4 linked regions of the Rattus norvegicus genome follow. Each later gene encodes a partner of the first gene's protein in a complex. Links are inferred from orthologs where the notes say so. Each region holds a gene or a part of one and is shown in the gene's direction. Other genes may lie near its edges.

What was found.
Region 2: the proteins of Arf1 (region 1) and Ap3b1 are in contact, whole or in part, in a cryo-EM structure (PDB 9C5B), measured with the Homo sapiens proteins. The link is inferred for Rattus norvegicus from reciprocal best matches to the Homo sapiens genes ARF1 and AP3B1. Residues at the interface, in NP_001019397.1 of Homo sapiens: Glu17, Arg19, Tyr35, Ile46, Pro47, Thr48, Ile49, Gly50, Phe51, Asn52, Val53, Glu54, Lys73, Ile74, Leu77, His80, Tyr81, Asn84; in NP_003655.3 of Homo sapiens: Glu52, Asn54, Pro81, Val84, Lys85, Val87, Ala88, Asp111, Leu112, Leu114, Leu115, Ile117, Ser118, Thr119, Gln121, Arg122.
Region 3: the proteins of Arf1 (region 1) and Ap1b1 are in contact, whole or in part, in a cryo-EM structure (PDB 7R4H), measured with the Homo sapiens proteins. The link is inferred for Rattus norvegicus from reciprocal best matches to the Homo sapiens genes ARF1 and AP1B1. Residues at the interface, in NP_001019397.1 of Homo sapiens: Glu17, Met18, Tyr35, Ile46, Thr48, Ile49, Gly50, Phe51, Asn52, Val53, Glu54, Thr64, Trp66, Lys73, Leu77, Arg79, His80, Tyr81, Gln83, Asn84; in NP_001118.3 of Homo sapiens: Asn23, Asp25, Pro52, Asp53, Val55, Asn56, Met58, Gln59, Met83, Ile85, Met86, Ala87, Val88, Asn89, Thr90, Val92, Lys93, Tyr121.
Region 4: the proteins of Arf1 (region 1) and Iqsec2 are in contact, whole or in part, in a crystal structure (PDB 6FAE), measured with the Homo sapiens proteins. The link is inferred for Rattus norvegicus from reciprocal best matches to the Homo sapiens genes ARF1 and IQSEC2. Residues at the interface, in NP_001019397.1 of Homo sapiens: Arg19, Gly24, Leu25, Asp26, Ala27, Lys30, Thr31, Ile46, Pro47, Thr48, Ile49, Gly50, Phe51, Asn52, Val53, Glu54, Thr55, Thr64, Trp66, Asp67, Val68, Gly69, Gly70, Gln71, Lys73, Ile74, Pro76, Leu77, Trp78, His80; in NP_001104595.1 of Homo sapiens: Arg810, Gln811, Gln841, Arg845, Val846, Gln847, Gly848, Glu849, Ala850, Gln851, Val853, Glu854, Glu858, Asp879, Phe882, Ile883, Phe886, Ala887, Ile889, Leu890, Asn892, Thr893, Asp894, Tyr896, Ser897, Pro898, Ser899, Val900, Arg904, Met906.

What each region holds. Positions count from the first base shown.
Region 1 is NC_086028.1:44,510,897-44,515,366, reverse strand, and holds the start of Arf1 (ADP-ribosylation factor 1), read left to right. Parts: upstream 1-1,372; 5' UTR 1,373-1,416; exon of another isoform or gene 1,417-1,708; intron 1,709-4,470. UniProt on the Homo sapiens protein: Small GTPase involved in protein trafficking between different compartments. Modulates vesicle budding and uncoating within the Golgi complex. In its GTP-bound form, triggers the recruitment of coatomer proteins to the Golgi membrane.
Region 2 is NC_086020.1:27,453,105-27,457,080, forward strand, and holds part of Ap3b1 (AP-3 complex subunit beta-1), read left to right. Parts: intron 1-2,888; coding exon 2,889-3,030; intron 3,031-3,976. UniProt on the Homo sapiens protein: Subunit of non-clathrin- and clathrin-associated adaptor protein complex 3 (AP-3) that plays a role in protein sorting in the late-Golgi/trans-Golgi network (TGN) and/or endosomes.
Region 3 is NC_086032.1:84,138,392-84,142,249, forward strand, and holds part of Ap1b1 (AP-1 complex subunit beta-1), read left to right. Parts: intron 1-1,043; coding exon 1,044-1,189; intron 1,190-1,628; exon of another isoform or gene 1,629-1,725; intron 1,726-2,805; coding exon 2,806-2,935; intron 2,936-3,174; coding exon 3,175-3,259; intron 3,260-3,715; coding exon 3,716-3,802; intron 3,803-3,858. UniProt on the Homo sapiens protein: Subunit of clathrin-associated adaptor protein complex 1 that plays a role in protein sorting in the late-Golgi/trans-Golgi network (TGN) and/or endosomes.
Region 4 is NC_086039.1:24,806,820-24,810,795, forward strand, and holds part of Iqsec2 (IQ motif and SEC7 domain-containing protein 2), read left to right. Parts: intron 1-91; coding exon 92-231; intron 232-896; coding exon 897-1,022; intron 1,023-3,426; coding exon 3,427-3,526; intron 3,527-3,976. UniProt on the Homo sapiens protein: Is a guanine nucleotide exchange factor for the ARF GTP-binding proteins.

The sequences.
Region 1 (4,470 bases):
CTCTACCACTGAGCTAAATCCCCAGCCCCTACAGGTGACTTTTTGAGTAGGACTACAATGTATAGGGGTGACATTAGGATAAAGAGGACTACCACCCTGTCTCTACTTCTTCAGTTTTGCCTTTTTAGGTACAGAAAGGGAGTTTGGTTCTTGATGAACCTGTGGTTTTTCTAGACACCCCATTTCTTTGTCTCCTTATCCATGAAGTGGCTAAGACAGGCTTCTGACATGGCTGAAATCTCAGGCCTCTGGAAACGTCCTGCCATTTCTCCAGGGTGTGTATAGGCAGCACCACCTTATGTTTTTCACAAACACTTGCTGTGTGCTGAGGGTGGGAGAGAACAGGCAGGTGCCCCCAGAGAAATTTACAGAAGCAGCATTTAAAAATGGAGCCCTGAGTGATGGAAAGGGATGCGTTTAGGGTCAAGAAGGTGATTATTGCATAGAATCCTGGCAGGCTCACAACTCTGGGGAGGGTTCTAGAGGTCTCAACCCGCAAACGCAGTGAGGATGCCCTGCACCCTGTGTCTTGACACAACAGTGGCTGAAGTAAGCCCAGGCAACACAATTGCCTCCTGCCAACTCAATAGATAAGGCTCCAGGCTCAAAAGAATCTCCTAAGTCCCTCAAAATCTCCTGCCTGTGGGAGTCCTCACAACAGCACATGGAGTGGAAGAACTGGACAGGGAGGACAGAACCTGGGCCTCACTCCAGCACAGATGGGGAGAGTTAACGGATTCCACCTTCTCTCCTGCACCCTGAAGGAGGCCACCCCATTAGGGGCAACCCAGAGTAGCCTCTCAGGCAGTGCTATGCCCGCACAGGTCTCTAGTCCTCTCAGTCAGCTCTGAGTGTGCACACGGGTCCAAGACGAGTGTAGGGACATGGTGTTTGTCTGACATTTGGCCTGTGCTTCTTCCCACTTTGGCCATTTGTCTGTTACATCATTCTCTTCAATGCCCCGACTCAGCTGAAGTATCAGAGACCCTGGGGTACTCTGAGAAGGACATCACACTCCCAGGGGTAACACGACCTTCCCACTCTGACCTTGGCGCTCTAGAACGCTTACTGGCCTCAACCCCCGCATCCGCGGAATGGGCTGGAATTCCGCAGGAAGATGCGCGTGCGCACGCGCCGTAGGACAGGGAAATCCATGCACCACACCCTTGCGCGTTCTAATCTCCGGAGCCGGTGTGCTAGCCCGGGACCCGATCCGGAAACAGAGCGACTTTGGCTCCACCCAACGAAGGCGTCAGGGTGCAGACGCGCAAGCGCTATTCGTGAAGGGGCGGGGCCTCCTGCGTGCCCGCCCTCTTCCCCCGGCGTGCCCCGCGGCAGGCGCTGACGTGGCTGCCGTCAGCGCCGCCATCTTGTGGGAGCGAAACCAACGCCTGGCTGGGAGCAGCCGCCGCGGAGGTGAGAAGCGGGGCTCTCTGAGGCCGAAGCTGGGGAGGCCACGGGCTGGTCATCGTGGGAATCGCGGGGCTCTCGGCTGCGGCTGCTAAGGACCGAGTCTGGTCGGGCGGCCTGAGGTCTGTGCTCAGTGGGCTCGGCGGCAGGCCGGACAGAAGATCAGGGCGCCCCCAAGTCCCGCGTCGCCCACGGCCGCTTGGCCCTCCCCCACTCCGCGGCCCTTACGCCAGGCCGCCCGCCGCGGGCCGCAGCCCGGAAGTCCGGCCAGGACGCCGGCTCTTCTCCAGGAAGCCAGGTTTCCTGCTGTTCCTCTCTGCGCCCTTCCTAGGCTCCACGGCCCGGGAGCCCGTTGCGGGGAGCAGGGCTCGGGGGTCACGGAGTTTCCCTTCTTAAAGGCTAACCGGCAGCTTCAGAAACGGCATGAGCCTTGGGCCTGGGGAAACTGAGGCTCGGGTGGCCCTGAGACGGCGTCAAGGTCACTCGGGTGTCGAGGTCTTCCTCCTCTGTCTCTCGAGTCCTGTTCCTGTCGGCCTAGAGGACCGAAGTTGTAGGAAGGGGGAAGGGAAAGGGACAGGTGTCGGACAGGGACTCGGAACTGATGACCGGGTGCTGGGATTTAACACATATTCGGATCTCAGGGGATCCCAGAATGCCCACTGTGATCCCCAATTAGCCGTGATTTGGCCCCGCATACCCTCGATGAGATCTGCAATGGGGTCTGCACTCTAGAGCCCAGTGGCCTCTGGAGGGGTTTGAGCGTTATTTCGCCTCTTGGCTGACTCCCTTTATGCTTTTGGTGGATTAGAAAAGGCCATTCTGAATTGGAGAATCTTTAACCTGCCCATGGAATAACCTGCTCCCAGCCTCTGAGCAATATGCAGGTACAGAGGCCAGATCCAGTACAGGATTCTGGCTGTCTATTCAGGATGGTCATGCCATGTCAGGTTGTAATGTACATATGTTATGTGGTCTAGCCACATATAACAAACACTAAATGCCAGGGAATCTGCTTGCATCAAGAAGGAATTCTCCCATTCAAACAGCAAGTGGCTGCTTTGTCAGGAAAGGAAGGGTCAGCTGCATTTGGTCCCAGAAGTCACTGGAGGGCCCAGTAGTTGATGCCACAACCCATGTTGGAGTAGTCTGTTGTAGTTCTTGTTTCACAAGTAGTAGTGGTCAGCAGTTTTTCCTGCAGGCTGATTCTGGTGTTTTCTGCTGTGACTGTCAGAATGGTGAGATGCCATGGTGCTTTGTGTGCTGGCCTCATGTCTCTCCACTGTCTTAACCAGTATCTACAGTGTCTGACATGGGTGACTGTAAAGTCCTCACCTTTGAGCTTTTAGCAGGGCTATTAGAAATAGCCTAGACTGTGAGATTTGATGCACAGTATTACTACCTGGTTTCTGCTGTGGTCAAGGGCCAATCGCAGATGTGGGAGCTACATTGTTGGAGTTACATTGTCTCCACAGCATAAAGGTTTCCCTCATTGGAATGTCGATCACTTAGCCTTAGGTTTGAAAATGGGTCTGAGTCACTGGATCATCACATTGTTCTCTTGTTTGTGAGGCAGATGTACAGAATTGCTACTTCAAAAAGGTTTAGGAGCGGAATAGTAGAGTGCTTTTCTAGCCTGCATGAAGTCTTGGTTTGGTCTCTAGCACTGCACACAAGGTTTAAGACAGTGTGAATAACAGCTGACTCATACTCAGTCTACTCATCCTGAGAGGAAAGTAGCAATAACTAGTTCTGTGCCCCACACACACAGTTCTAATTGTAAAATCATGCAGCTGGGATGTCCACTACACCTCTTGCACCTTGTAGAATGGATGTCCACAATCTTCACTCCAATGGGCTGCTTCCTCTGCCCAGGACCAGACAGGCTTCAAAACACCTTTTTTTTTTTTTTTTTTTAATGTAAAGGTAAATTAGACAAGCAGTTGCTATGGTAACACAGTGTCAGGAAGCCTAACCAAGAGAAAAAACTTGTTGTGCAAGTTCATGCAATAGCTTGTTACAATGGTTTGAAAGTGTTGGGTCAAGTTGTTTTTTTTTTTTTTTTTTTTTTCTTTCAGATTCTTAGAATTAAATGTTACATTGATGAGCAGGGTTTTTCTGTGTCCCCTGGCTGTCCTGAAACTCCCTCTTGAGACCAGGCTGGCCTCATACTCAGAAATCTGCCTCCATAGTTGGAATTAAAGACATAAGCTACCACCTCCTGGCTCTGATACACAGGTTTAAATCTACTCTTAATCACAAGGGCTATGTCATTTGCACTGAGGAGCCATCAGTGAGTCCCATTAGACCCAGCGTGCTCTAGGCTGCTATGTCATTCATGGTCTTTCTTCCCTGTTGGCTTTCTTGAATCCCTTTGAGCTTTTATATTCATGAAATTGTTAGAGATGGTGAGGAGAGAAAAATGAAAATTTCTTTGATTCGAAATCTTGACAAGCAAGAGCATCTTTTTGTGTATGCTGAATCTACTATTGAAGATTTGACACTGCCTACTGAGAAGCTAAAGGTAGCTGGGGTGGGAGTGTGTATACATTGGGATTCCTCATTACACACCAAGGTCTGTGTCCAGTATTGATTGTGATACAGATTACAGATAATAGCTTGTGCAGTTTGTCAATGTCTGAAAGGTAACAGCCCTCTCTGGTGGGTCAAGTGACTTGATAAGCTGGAAAACTTGTTAGTGGAGGCACACCCAGTCTCTTTATTTCCAGAGGGACCTTTTAGGTGGTCACCCGAGTTCCACCACCCTGTCCTGCTACACAGATAGTGGTGAGACAGATTAGAACCCAGCCTCCACACACTCTGATCCTCTTTACTGATTTTTTTACTCAAAGTGGCAACAGTTTGGTAGTCTGTCAGCAGCCAATAGAATAGGAACAGTGGCACTCCCTGCAAGCCCTGATAATAGGGAAAGTTTTAAGTGACAAGAGCAGGACTGACAGAAAATAGGAAGACAGACAAATGTTATTGGTGCTGTTCATGAGGAAGGGTTTCACTGTGTAGTACAGATTTTCCCTAAACTTGAGATCCTCCTGCCTCACCTCT
Region 2 (3,976 bases), on another chromosome or scaffold:
CCAAGACAATTGATTTTTCTAAATAATGTTACATTAAAAAATTAGGATCCAAATATCAGAGTCAAAGGCTGTGAAGGAAGACGGTCAGAAGATACTTAAGGGTTGGTGCTTTTCAAGATCTGCCATTATCAACAGTGTCCTCATGTGTTAAGGCGTCATTAAGATTTTGAGTAATTGGGGCTAATACCTTGGATTGTGTGGCTCTGTTTCCCCTCCCCTGCTGTCAGAGTGGCCTCCGCTGACTCCCTGGCCCTTCTCTGGGGCCTGCTGCCCACTCCCATGATGAGCTTGCAGCTTGGGCTCAGTCGTGGCTGACAGCACTGATTGCGCGCAGTACGCTCTCTGCTCCTTTTATTACAGACAGTAATTAAAGCAGCTCGCCCTGCCACTTCCATAACAAACACAGCATAATGCCCTAATTATGACTTTATTAATTTAAGTCAGGATTTAATGATTTTAAAAGTGATTTATATTGTTTTTCCTGTTCAGAACAAATGAAATCTGTAGGTTAAATTAATACAGGCTTTTCATCATTGCAAAGTTAAAAACCTAGTTACCAGGAAATTCTTCTCATTAGGTTAACATCTGAAACTCTAAGCAGTAAGGTAAACAATAATTACCATCAGAATTGAGTGATGCATAATAAAATAACACTTTTACCTTTAAAATCTTATCTGCAGTGCCAGGAGTGACGTTTCCTTAGAGCAGCTCGCCTGCTGCAGGAGAGAGGCCCTGGCTTGCGGTCCCTGGCGTGTGAGGACACTGCTTGGCTTTCACATCAGACTAGCTGTGCTGGGCTGATCTGGTTTGGGAAAGTGCTTGTTTCTAGATGTGTTCCTCAGCATAGCAGTGTTTCCTCAGATGGCACGTGTCACCATGATATATGCTTTTAATCACATACTGGCTTCATATCTTTTTATGTTTGAATTCAAAGTAATCGTTACACCAAAGTGAGCCACAGTGACAGTCCAAGCCGTTCTATTTGCAGGTCTGTGTTTTAAACAGTGGATTGGGGACAATATATATTGCTACCATTTTGTAGGAGAGAAAACAACATATTTTTCCATCTTCAAGTATAATTACATGTGCTCTGAGATGTTGCCATTGCTCCATTTTTAATAAACAGCAACATATTTCCTCCACAGAAATCAATTCTGAGAGCTATTGATCCTTCTTCCCACACTGCTCTCCTCCTCCCGTTCCTGCAGCCCGTCGCTGTAGAGTTTGCTTGTCATTTGCCCTCACCACTTTGGAAGTTCTTGATAATCTTTAAGTCTCCTCAGAAACTACTCTTTCCTAGTCACAGGCGTTTGTTACCAACTTTCAGTCTTACATTCATTACAAAGTGTCTTCATGGGAGAAACAGTAGATAGAGGGAAGGGGATTAGGACATCAGGAGACAGATTTGATTTCAGAGTTCAGGATTCCCTCTCATGTCAGTGTGTCCTTAAAGTTATTGGTTTCATTGTCGTAAGTGGGTTAATAATAAAGCCAGGAAGAGAGCATTTGCAGTAGATCATTGGAATGAAACACCTAGAACTGCCCCGCCTGAGGCAGATTATTAAAAACAAAACAGAAGACCTTCAGATAGATTGGCGTGTGTGTGTGTGTGTGTGTGTGTGTGTGTGTGTGTGTATACACCACATCATGCAGAATCCTGAGGAGGTTAGGACAGTCTTAGATTCTCTGGACTGGAAGTTACAGGCTGTTGCAAACTGCCGTGTGAGTGCTTAGAACTGAAGCCAGGGTCGTGTATAAGAGCTGTCAGCACTCTTAACTGCTGAGCTACCTCTGGCCCCTAGGTTAGTTTTACAAGGCCCACACATGTGCATACATGCATGTACACTTACACAGACGTACACCATGAGGAACTGCATTTTGGGGGACTTGGAGACAGATAGTCCATCTCAATTTTCTCTGTTCTCTTTGGGGAATAGTTTTAATTTGCCCACTCACCCCACTTCTGTTTCTCAAGTCATGTTCTTTTTCTCAAGAAGCTTCCTGATCGTGGGTATCTAGTGTAGGTGTCCCTTTGACACCTTGGGACACCTTGCTTGTATGCCTCATCACTGCTGCTGTATTTCTCTGTATGCTCCAGTGCAGCCCAGACACTAAGCTGACATGCAGGTCATCTGCGTCCTCACAGTTATCCTCTGGCACCTAGCTTGGGGCTCACAAGTTAGCAATAATACTGGTTACCTCAGTGAGCGATGAGAAGAAGCCTGTGAGAGTGTGGTGTGGAGACCCTGTCTCTAAATAAACAAGTCGTTTCCTCTGAGCCAATTAACATCTTCTTACATACATATTTAAGATCACACTTCTGTGTTTACCTTGTTGATTTTTCTGAGAAAGAAACAGAATTTACCAAATGTAGGTCCTTTCACAAAAGTCAATGTATAACCTCTTAAACTTACCAGGAAGCAATATTTGAAACCTCATTCTAAAACTCAGCCTGAGTTCTAAGAATTTCTTACTCTTAGTTCCCCAAAGTCCACCTGGCCTCTCGTAGCATTTTCTGTATGGTTACTGATTCTACCAGCAAGTGCTGTTTTGTGATTTTGCACTCGAAGTCATTCTAGCTTTCTTGGTAACACTACCTTTATTCATTAAATTTAAATTTGTTTCTGCGTGAGTGCACACTTCCCAGTGCACATTCGGAGATCAGAGGACCACCTGTGGGTCGATTCTGTCCTCCTCTGTGTAGGTCCTGACAACAGACGATCATGCTGGCCGCCCTGCTTGGCCATGGGGACCTTTACCCATGGAGTCATCTAGGCAGCCCTTATTTGGTTTTCATTCATCTCAGGATTTTTAAGCTATTACTTAAATTTTAAATTTTAAACATACGGTTTTACAGTTTATATCTCAAAATTCATCTTTATTCACAGTGCCTCAGAAGACAGGGAGAAGAAAAATGGAAAATCTCAGGCCTCGGAGTCGTCCAGTGAGGAGTCCAGTTCCACAGAAGAAAGTTCTTCAGAGTCAGAGTCAGGCTCTGACAGTGAGCCTGCACCCAGAAAAACAGCTAAGGTAAGACCATGCATGTGCTGTGGCTGACATACATGTACAGCTTGTGCCTTTCTCCAATTGATGGATGGGGTGAAGGAAGAAGGCAGATCTCTGAGTTTGAGGGCAGCCTGGTTTTCAGAACAAGTTCCAAGATAGCCAAGACTGTGCAGAGAATCCCTATCTGAAAAAAAGCAAAAACACATTTGCCGGGGGCCAGCCCCAGTGATCCTTCTGTCTTGTTTGATTTTTCTTCAGACAGTGGAGGGGTGAACTTCAGTAGGTGTGAGACGTGGTCTTACAAAGTGTTTACGGTTGCTCTTTAATAACAAAACATTTCCCTTTCTTACGTCTAAGTCACTTTGCTTCAGTAGCTGACCTGCCTTCTGAGTGTCTCTCAGAAGCACCCCAATCTTAAAACAACAGAAGATTAAGCCTTTGTTCTATCTCTGCTAGTGGAAGTCACAGGAAGTAAAAGGGACACTTTGAGAAGTGATTTTAGTGTTGATTTCTGAGTTTTAAAAAGTTTCCTATGAAAGGAAAAAGGGGATAAGCAGGATGCTTAAGAGGGGCTCTTTGTCCTCAGCACTTAGACATCTTCTAGGATACATAATCACAGGGTAGGGAAGTTCGTCACAGTTTACACATAATTGAAATCATTAATGAAGTTTACAACAGAGACTGTTTACATGCATTTCCATCGGGAGAGATTATCTGGCTAAACATCCATCATCAGTCCCCAAGCTCAAAAGGTTCATTGAAAGTTAAACACCATAACTTTTTTGACAAGGTAATTAGGGAAGTTTTGTATAGATAAACACAGGCAATATTTTATCCTTTGTCCTAGCACCTAAAATAAGTCATTAGCTCCCTTTTATGACCTTAGGTGAATGGTTTCACAACCTCTTGAATGTGTTCTGAGTAGCAGATGCCTGCTTGCTGTCTCAGAAGCAGTTAACTCGTGATGCGA
Region 3 (3,858 bases), on another chromosome or scaffold:
AGATCCTGCTGCCTGGTACTCACTGGGTACTCAAGGATTGAGAAGCCATGAGCTGGCCTTAACTGATGACATCACTGCCAGTCTGGTAGAGATGAGGTACCTGGTCACACTCAGTGCTGTGAGGAGAGCTTCAGGGACTGAGCTGGAAGTAATCAGGCGGGCTCTGGAGGGAGAGTCCTTGCCACCAGAGAGGACTTTCTCACCTCCTCAGTCGCTGGTCCCCGCAGAAGCAGCAGCAAGTCATCTGTATTTCCTTCGCAGCACTATTACCACTGGGGTGGCTTGTCTTTTATTCAAGATTCCCCACCTGCCTTGGGTTGATTCCTGCCATTTAGTTAGCAAGCACCCTGTGCACAGCAGTGCCACCCTAGGCCGCAGATGTAGATGGACCATCAAAACACTTCCCTTAACAGTCTCTGGGCAGCAGTAAGGAGGAGAGGTATACGAGCTCATGAATGCGAGCTTCCTGATGGAGGAATTCTGTTCCTCGGCCTGCTAGGGGCAGCCAGGACCCTGGCAGGTGAGAACTTGTTTTGTACTAGCCATACTATCAGGTCAGGCCAGTGTCTTCAGTGGAAGGCCAGCCATATCTCCTGCAGGAAGAGTTTGGGCTGTGACAGCCAAGGAGAATTCAGGCCATGACAGCCAAGGAGAGTTCGGGCTGTGACAGCCAAGGAGAGTTCGGGCTGTGACAGCCAAGGAAGGTTCAGGCTGTGGCCAGGATCTAGAATGCTGTTGGGTCTCAGCTCTGATTTTGGCTTGTCGGGGTGCTGGCAAAGCTTACCTTCTTCCTCAGTATTGCCTTCTTTGACCTCTGAAGATGTCCCTTTTGTCCTCAGCTTCTCTGATATACAGCTATACCATGATGCTGGCCCTGGGTGGGCTACACTATTAGCTTTATCATCGGGGTACATATAACATGCCTCAGTGGTAGAAATGGGTTGATCAGAAGACTCTTTAGGAAAGAAAAAAAGGGTCCCAGGCTAGCTATGACTCTTGGGTGGGGAAGAGGCACACAACTCCTCCCACCTTTTTTCCTACAGGTTTGGCTCCCTGCCATGAAGGCCAAGGGGCTGGAAATCTCTGGCACCTTCACCCGGCAGGTTGGCTCCATCTCCATGGATCTGCAGCTGACTAACAAGGCCCTGCAGGTCATGACAGATTTCGCTATCCAGTTTAATCGGAACAGGTGAGTCCTGGCCAGACTCAACAGCAGTGTCTTGACCACTGTGTGGACTTCAACGCACCAGGCAGAGTGGACAGGGCATCCCCATCAACTTGCCCTCTACTAACCAAAGGATAGTTTTGTGTCAGAAATCACTGCCCTAAGCCAGCAGCCCCCCGCTGGAGGTGCCTTACACCTCCCTCCTGCCTCTTCTCCCAGGCCTGAGTCCCTTTTCTGTTGGGGAACAGCTCTGAAAAAGTGGGTTGGGTAGTAGGCCTGCTAGCCAGGCTCCCCTGAGGGCAAAACAGTGCTCAGCCCAAGTTTTCTCATCAGACAAGGACTTGCTCTGAGAATGAGTACTAGCTGCTCCAAGCTCCCTGTTGCTCCAGCCCCCATGTTTTCAGTACTACACATTGGTGAGGAAAGGTGCTGGCATGGTGAGCAGCAAGGCCAGGCTCTCTGGAACCGTGGCAGCCCCTCCTGATGATTCCTCTTCCTGAGTGTCTCCAGTGATGAGCAAACTGAGCCTCTAAGAAACTGACTAAAGGGGCAGCTTCCTCAGGAGAGATTGGGGAGGCGAGGCAGCTCTGCCTCTCCATTCGCAGGACACTAGAGGCCAGAGGGGCATGACTGCTTAGAACGAGCCTCCGTACAGTTAACCATTCCTGGGGAGCGAATCCTAGGCCAAGAACTGTGACAGTCCGCAAACCTGACAAGGATGGCAGGCCTGGGCTTCCCTCTAGATGCTAGGCAAGTCTAAATAAGAGTATAGTTCAGTTCTCAGCAGCCATTCACCCTGTAAGAGCTGGAAGCTGGATGTAAGGCTGTTCCTCACTAAGGGTCTGTGTTCTCATCAGGAAGACGGAACTGTGCATTCTGACTTTTACCAGGATGGAAATTGGCCTGTTGCCATGTGCTGCCCTGGACATACTGAATGCTCAGCTCAGGTTTCCCTGCACACCACTGGGACAACGTGTAGTGTTGTATTGCGTTGCCGGCTGTAGTTCAGACATAGCCCTCTTTTGAGTTATGGGTCTTAGCAGTATCTAGGCTGGCAGTTTTCCATCGAGAAACGTCGTTCAGGCCCTGGTGTTGGGTGGAGGTCCTGAGGGAGAGGGAGGGCTATGCTATCCTGGCCTACCAAGAACCAGCCCAGAGGAGAAAAAGCAGCAGAGAAGTCATGCTGGACCCAGGCTCTTGCAGGGGTGGTCATGAGCTCAGGAAAGGCTGACTTGGTGAAGAAGCTCTACTCATCACCATGCACACCCATCACCCTGCACACCCATCACCCTGCACACCCATCCCCCTGCACACCCATCACCCCGCACACCCATCACCCTGCACACCCATCACCCTGCACACCCATCACCATGCACACCCATCCCCCTGCACACCCATCCCCCTGCACACCCATCCCCCTGCACACCCATCCCCCTGCACACCCATCCCCCTGCACACCCATCATCACCCTGCACACCCATCCCCCTGCACACCCATCACCCTGCACACCCATCCCCCTGCACACCCATCCCCCTGCACACCCATCATCACCCTGCACACCCATCCCCCTGCACACCCATCACCCTGCACACCCATCACCCTGCACACCCTCTAAGCTCCTGTCGGGCTTCTCTTTTCAGCTTTGGCTTGGCCCCCGCTGCGCCACTCCAAGTGCACGCCCCACTGAGCCCCAACCAGACGGTGGAGATCTCCCTGCCTCTTAACACGGTGGGCTCAGTCATGAAGATGGAGCCTCTGAACAATCTTCAGGTGTGTCCCCACAGGGCCAGACACCCCATTTCTACCCACCTCAGCCAGGAAGCAGGAAGCCTGAGAGAATGGTGCCCTCGGCTACAGCTGGAACCTGGGCTAGGGGACAAAGGGCATGGCCACAAGGGAGGTCCTGTGAGAAACCCGCTCTGGACACCCTGCTTGGGCCCTAGGAGGTGGGATAAGCCCAAGAGTCAGGGTGTCAAGCCCGGGGACTGACTGGAGACCCCCATGCCTAGGTGGCTGTGAAGAACAACATTGACGTCTTCTACTTCAGCACTTTGTACCCACTGCATGTCCTCTTCGTGGAGGACGGGAAGATGGGTGAGTTTGAGGCCATGGGGATTCGTGTAGTAGGACTCAGCTAGGGAGCCTGGGGGACGAGTGCCCTGACATAAGGGCCAGAAGGACAGCTTTGCCTTATGAGGGGGTCTTCAGCTGCTCCTACCTGGCTTGCAGGTGGCCTGTGCCACCTTACTTGTGAGCGCTGCTGCTCACCCTTATGCTCGTCCATGGGCTGCAAAGAACCAAGTCAGTCACCATGCCTGGAAGCTGTGTGGCGGGCACTCACCTTTGCCACTGGCCCCAGAGCCGTGTGTAACAAACTGCAGAGGAGAAGACAGTGAGGTCAGATGCTCGTCAGGCAAAGGAGGGGCAGGAAGCAGAGGGCATTGGAGGGAACTGGAGGAGCAGGTGCCTGCCTTCCTTCACTGCCATGTGGTGCTGAGGGCCAGACTTTATTAGGCTTCTATCTCTTATCCTGCCCTGTTGACCCTGTAGACCGGCAGATGTTCCTGGCCACATGGAAGGACATTCCCAACGAGAATGAAGCCCAGTTCCAGATCAGAGACTGCCCGCTGAACACAGGTGAGTCCCTCCCCGCCCGTATTCCACCCACTGTGTCCCCTGTCCCCACTGATGTG
Region 4 (3,976 bases), on another chromosome or scaffold:
CTATGCCTGGGCGTGGGGTATTATGGAGAACCCTCTACTGCCAACCCTCTGTATTGATGTGACATATTCCTTTGTAATACTTTCCATGTAGGAGTTGACAATGGTGAAGACATCCCCCGAGACCTCCTAGTAGGCATCTACCAGCGCATCCAAGGTCGTGAACTAAGGACCAACGATGACCATGTGTCCCAGGTGCAGGCTGTGGAGCGCATGATTGTTGGCAAGAAACCGGTAAGTGACTGGGGTGATAGGAGGCATCCTTGTGTGGTAAGTCACTGGCCTCCTAAGCCCCAGATTCCCCTTACCTATAAAATAAAGTGGGAAATATGATAATTCCTTAGGAATCATGGTATAGATTTACATAAGTGCCTTTAGTTTATTGCAAACCATTCCGACCATCAGAGGTGTGGTATGAATATTTTCTTTTTATCTAGGTAAAGAGAGCCAAGCTGTAATAGCTAAGAAGATACCCTATTGCCAGCAAACATTTATGACTGTCTTACCAGTGATCCCAACATTTTGCTGTCTTTAGGGGTACTCAAAGATTAGTGAGGTTCCCAGACAAAGACACAAATAAAACTTCTGCCTCCTAGTCTAATTTAGAGGAACAGAAAGCAGGGAGAGGCCATTTTAAGTCAAAGGAAGTCAGAAAGGCTTCTTGGAAAATAACTTGGGAATTGTGGTGTGAAAGAGGACAAAATTTAGCTGGCCTGGGCAAGAAAGACATTTCAGACAAGAAGGTTCTAGAGGGACAAAGACAAGGTAGCAGAAAAGCTTAAAGGACTTAGTTGTTTATATTCTTTGTGTCAGAGTGACAGATATGCCTTGTTAAGGTACCAGAGGCCTGAAACTGATGGGGTGGCCTTACTGACCACCACTTTTCCACACCTGTCCAGGTCCTGTCGCTCCCTCACCGTCGACTGGTTTGCTGCTGCCAGCTCTATGAGGTGCCAGATCCAAATCGCCCCCAAAGGCTGGGGCTGCATCAGCGGGAGGTCTTCCTCTTCAATGACCTCCTTGTGGTATGGGCATTGTGCAGAAGGAAATGGGAGGGAGATAGCAGAGCTGCTGGGTCTAGTGCAAACTGTGTTGTGTGCAGTGTGCTTGGTACAGTGCTCCAGCATGCCATCTGCATGGTCTCCAGTAAGGTCTCTGTCCCTCCGTTTCCTTCATTTTGATGTAGTGAGAACCACACAGGGACATTAGTAGGGGGCTAATAATAGATATGTAATCTGGGAAGTGGTAGGAAATGTCCCTGCCCACTGCACCGTAGCACAGTTGTGAATCTGTGGCTCTGGGAACCTCTCAGTTTTCTTGATGTTGGAAGTGATTAAAATGAAGCATACCACTGGTACAGAGATACCCACCTTTTAGTGATAGAATTTGTTGGATTCTACATATCAAAAGGGATTTTTCAGGATTTCCTAGGCAAGAGCTACTCTCCAAGATGGCTTAGCCCCAACTGCTTGAATCTGGTTTTTTTTGGGGGGGGGACTGCTTTTTGTTTTGTTTTTAAAATAAAGAGTCTCACTGAATAGCTCTGGCTGTCCTGTAATTTACTATGTGCACCAGGCTAGCCTCAAACTCACAGAAATCTACCTGCCTCTGCCTCTTAGCTAGAATTACAGGTGTGTGCCAATACACCTGGTTCGAATCTGCCTCCTGATGTGGTTCGGTCTTACTTTACATTCTCCACTGTTTCTTGGGGTCACAAAGAGCAAATATTCTCCCTCTGCTCCGAGACAGTACTCCTGAGACCAGCAGTCTTGTTCCTTCTTGGTATTTTCATCTTCACATTAGCATTTCTCTGTCTTGTCACTACTGTTGTTATTTTGAGGCAAGGCAATTCTTTCTTGCAAGGGTCTGTCTTGTGTATCGTAGTATGTTTAGCAGCACCCTGGGATACCTACTAGAAGGGAGCAGCAAACCTTCAACCAAAAATGTGTTCTCTAGAGAAAAGCAGAAAAAGAAATAGAAGGGGAAGGGTGGGAGGGGAAGGAACATCTTCAGGGAAGAAAAGGTGGAAGGAACAAAAGTAAAGAAAGCAATGTCTTCTCCAGATGTTGTTCTGTATCCTATGGAAGCAGCTCAAAATCATCTCTAGTTGAGAATCATGAGTTTAGACAACATACCTCCAACACCCTCTGCAAACCTTAGTGTCTTGCTTCATGAAATGGTGCTAACCCTTATCTCCTAGAGTTGTCAAGAGGATGAAACAGGAAGTCAGTGCCTGACAATGCAGTTCAGCAGTAGAGTGCTTACTTAGCACTTGCAAGGATCTGGGTTCCATTCCCAGCACTATAAGAGAGAAGAGGGTGAGGAAGAGATGATTCCATCTCAAACCAGGTGTGCCTGGCCCACTCGGATGCTGAGTCCCTGTTAGATGCCCTTCATGTACCAACACCCCTGTTTATCTAGCTCTGTTCTAGGCACCGAGTACATGGAGATATATCCATAAGCCTTTGTATTCAAGGACTCACAAACAAATGGCCTAAAATGCGTTTTGCAACATGGTGTGCTGATAAACTCCTATAAGCATTTGGGAGGTGGAGGCAAAAGGAACAGAATGTTGAAATCAGAGTGGACTACATGACAGAGGTCTAGTCTCAACCACCCACACCACACCACTGGAACCAATCTAAACCAAACCTTTGAAGAGCCATTTGTAGTGGATGAGGCTGTAGCTTAATGATAGAGCAATTGTCTGGACCCAGGTTTCATTCCCCAGCAAACAAAATACATGGAATAAAATAGCCATTTGTAGATTGTCCAACTTAAGTTAGGGATGAATCTAAAATCTCTACATACTTGATAAAGACTTTTGGTCATTGAGAGATCGTTAACCTTGTTCAGGGGCGCTGCAGAGGTTGTCATTATAAGCTAGTTTTGGATGGTGGGAGTTGGGGTAAGAGAGAAAACCTGAAAACTAGACCCACCAAACCCCCTGCCCTCCAGGCTAGCAGGGGCAATCACATATTTAAATCTGACAAGGGAAGAGGTATGAGAGCAACACCTTGGAAGCTCAGAAGATGGAGACAGAAATCTATGTGAGGTATTAGGACAGGCTTCCTGGAGGGAACAACATTTAGTTCCTTTAAGAGTTGCAAATGCTGGGGTTGAGGATTTAGCTCAGTGGTAGAGCGCTTGCCTAGCAAGTGAAAGGCCCAGGGTTTGGTCCTGGGGGGGGGGGTCGGGAAAAAGAGTTGCAAATGCTTGTTGTGCATGGTCATGATATCACAAACTTGCATTCTCTCCCACCTCTCCACTCCTAAAGTTTCAGTTCTTCCTTGTGGGTATATGTGCTCATGTGCATATGCCTGTTACTGGGAATAGGTGGGGAAGATGGTTACTAGAAATGGGTATTATTTGGAAATCCCCCACCCTAAACCTTGCCTCTTATCTTTTTCCCACCCTTGTTTGCCAAAGGTCACCAAAATTTTCCAGAAGAAGAAGATCTTGGTGACATACAGCTTCCGTCAGTCCTTTCCCCTGGTGGAAATGCATATGCAGCTCTTCCAGAATTCATGTGAGTTCCCTCTTGAACCCTAGCATGCATCCCAGGGGGGGACGGGGTTATCAGAGCCCATACTCACCCTTCAGCTATACTAGCTTCCAGCCACTGAAGTCCTCTATAGTTGGGGGAAGGTCCCCAAAGGATCTACCGGTTTGAGGATGAAAGGAAGATTAGAATGGAGTATGATTTGGGTGTGACTCCTGGAAAACACAGAACAATGTTTGTGTGTTCCTTAGTAGGCAGAAGAGGTCGCAGTCACACTGTGCTTGGAAGTCATGTATTGAGAAGAGCATGATTGGGTATAATTCAAGAGAGCAGAGTCACTGTGAGAGACAGAGAGACAATGGAAAAGGTTTCTAGAAAGCAGTTCAGAATTTGCCTTTACATCTTGGAGTATAAGGAATAAGGTTGCCATGGCTACCAGGAGTTTGGGGACAAAGGGAAACCACTGAAGATGCTTGA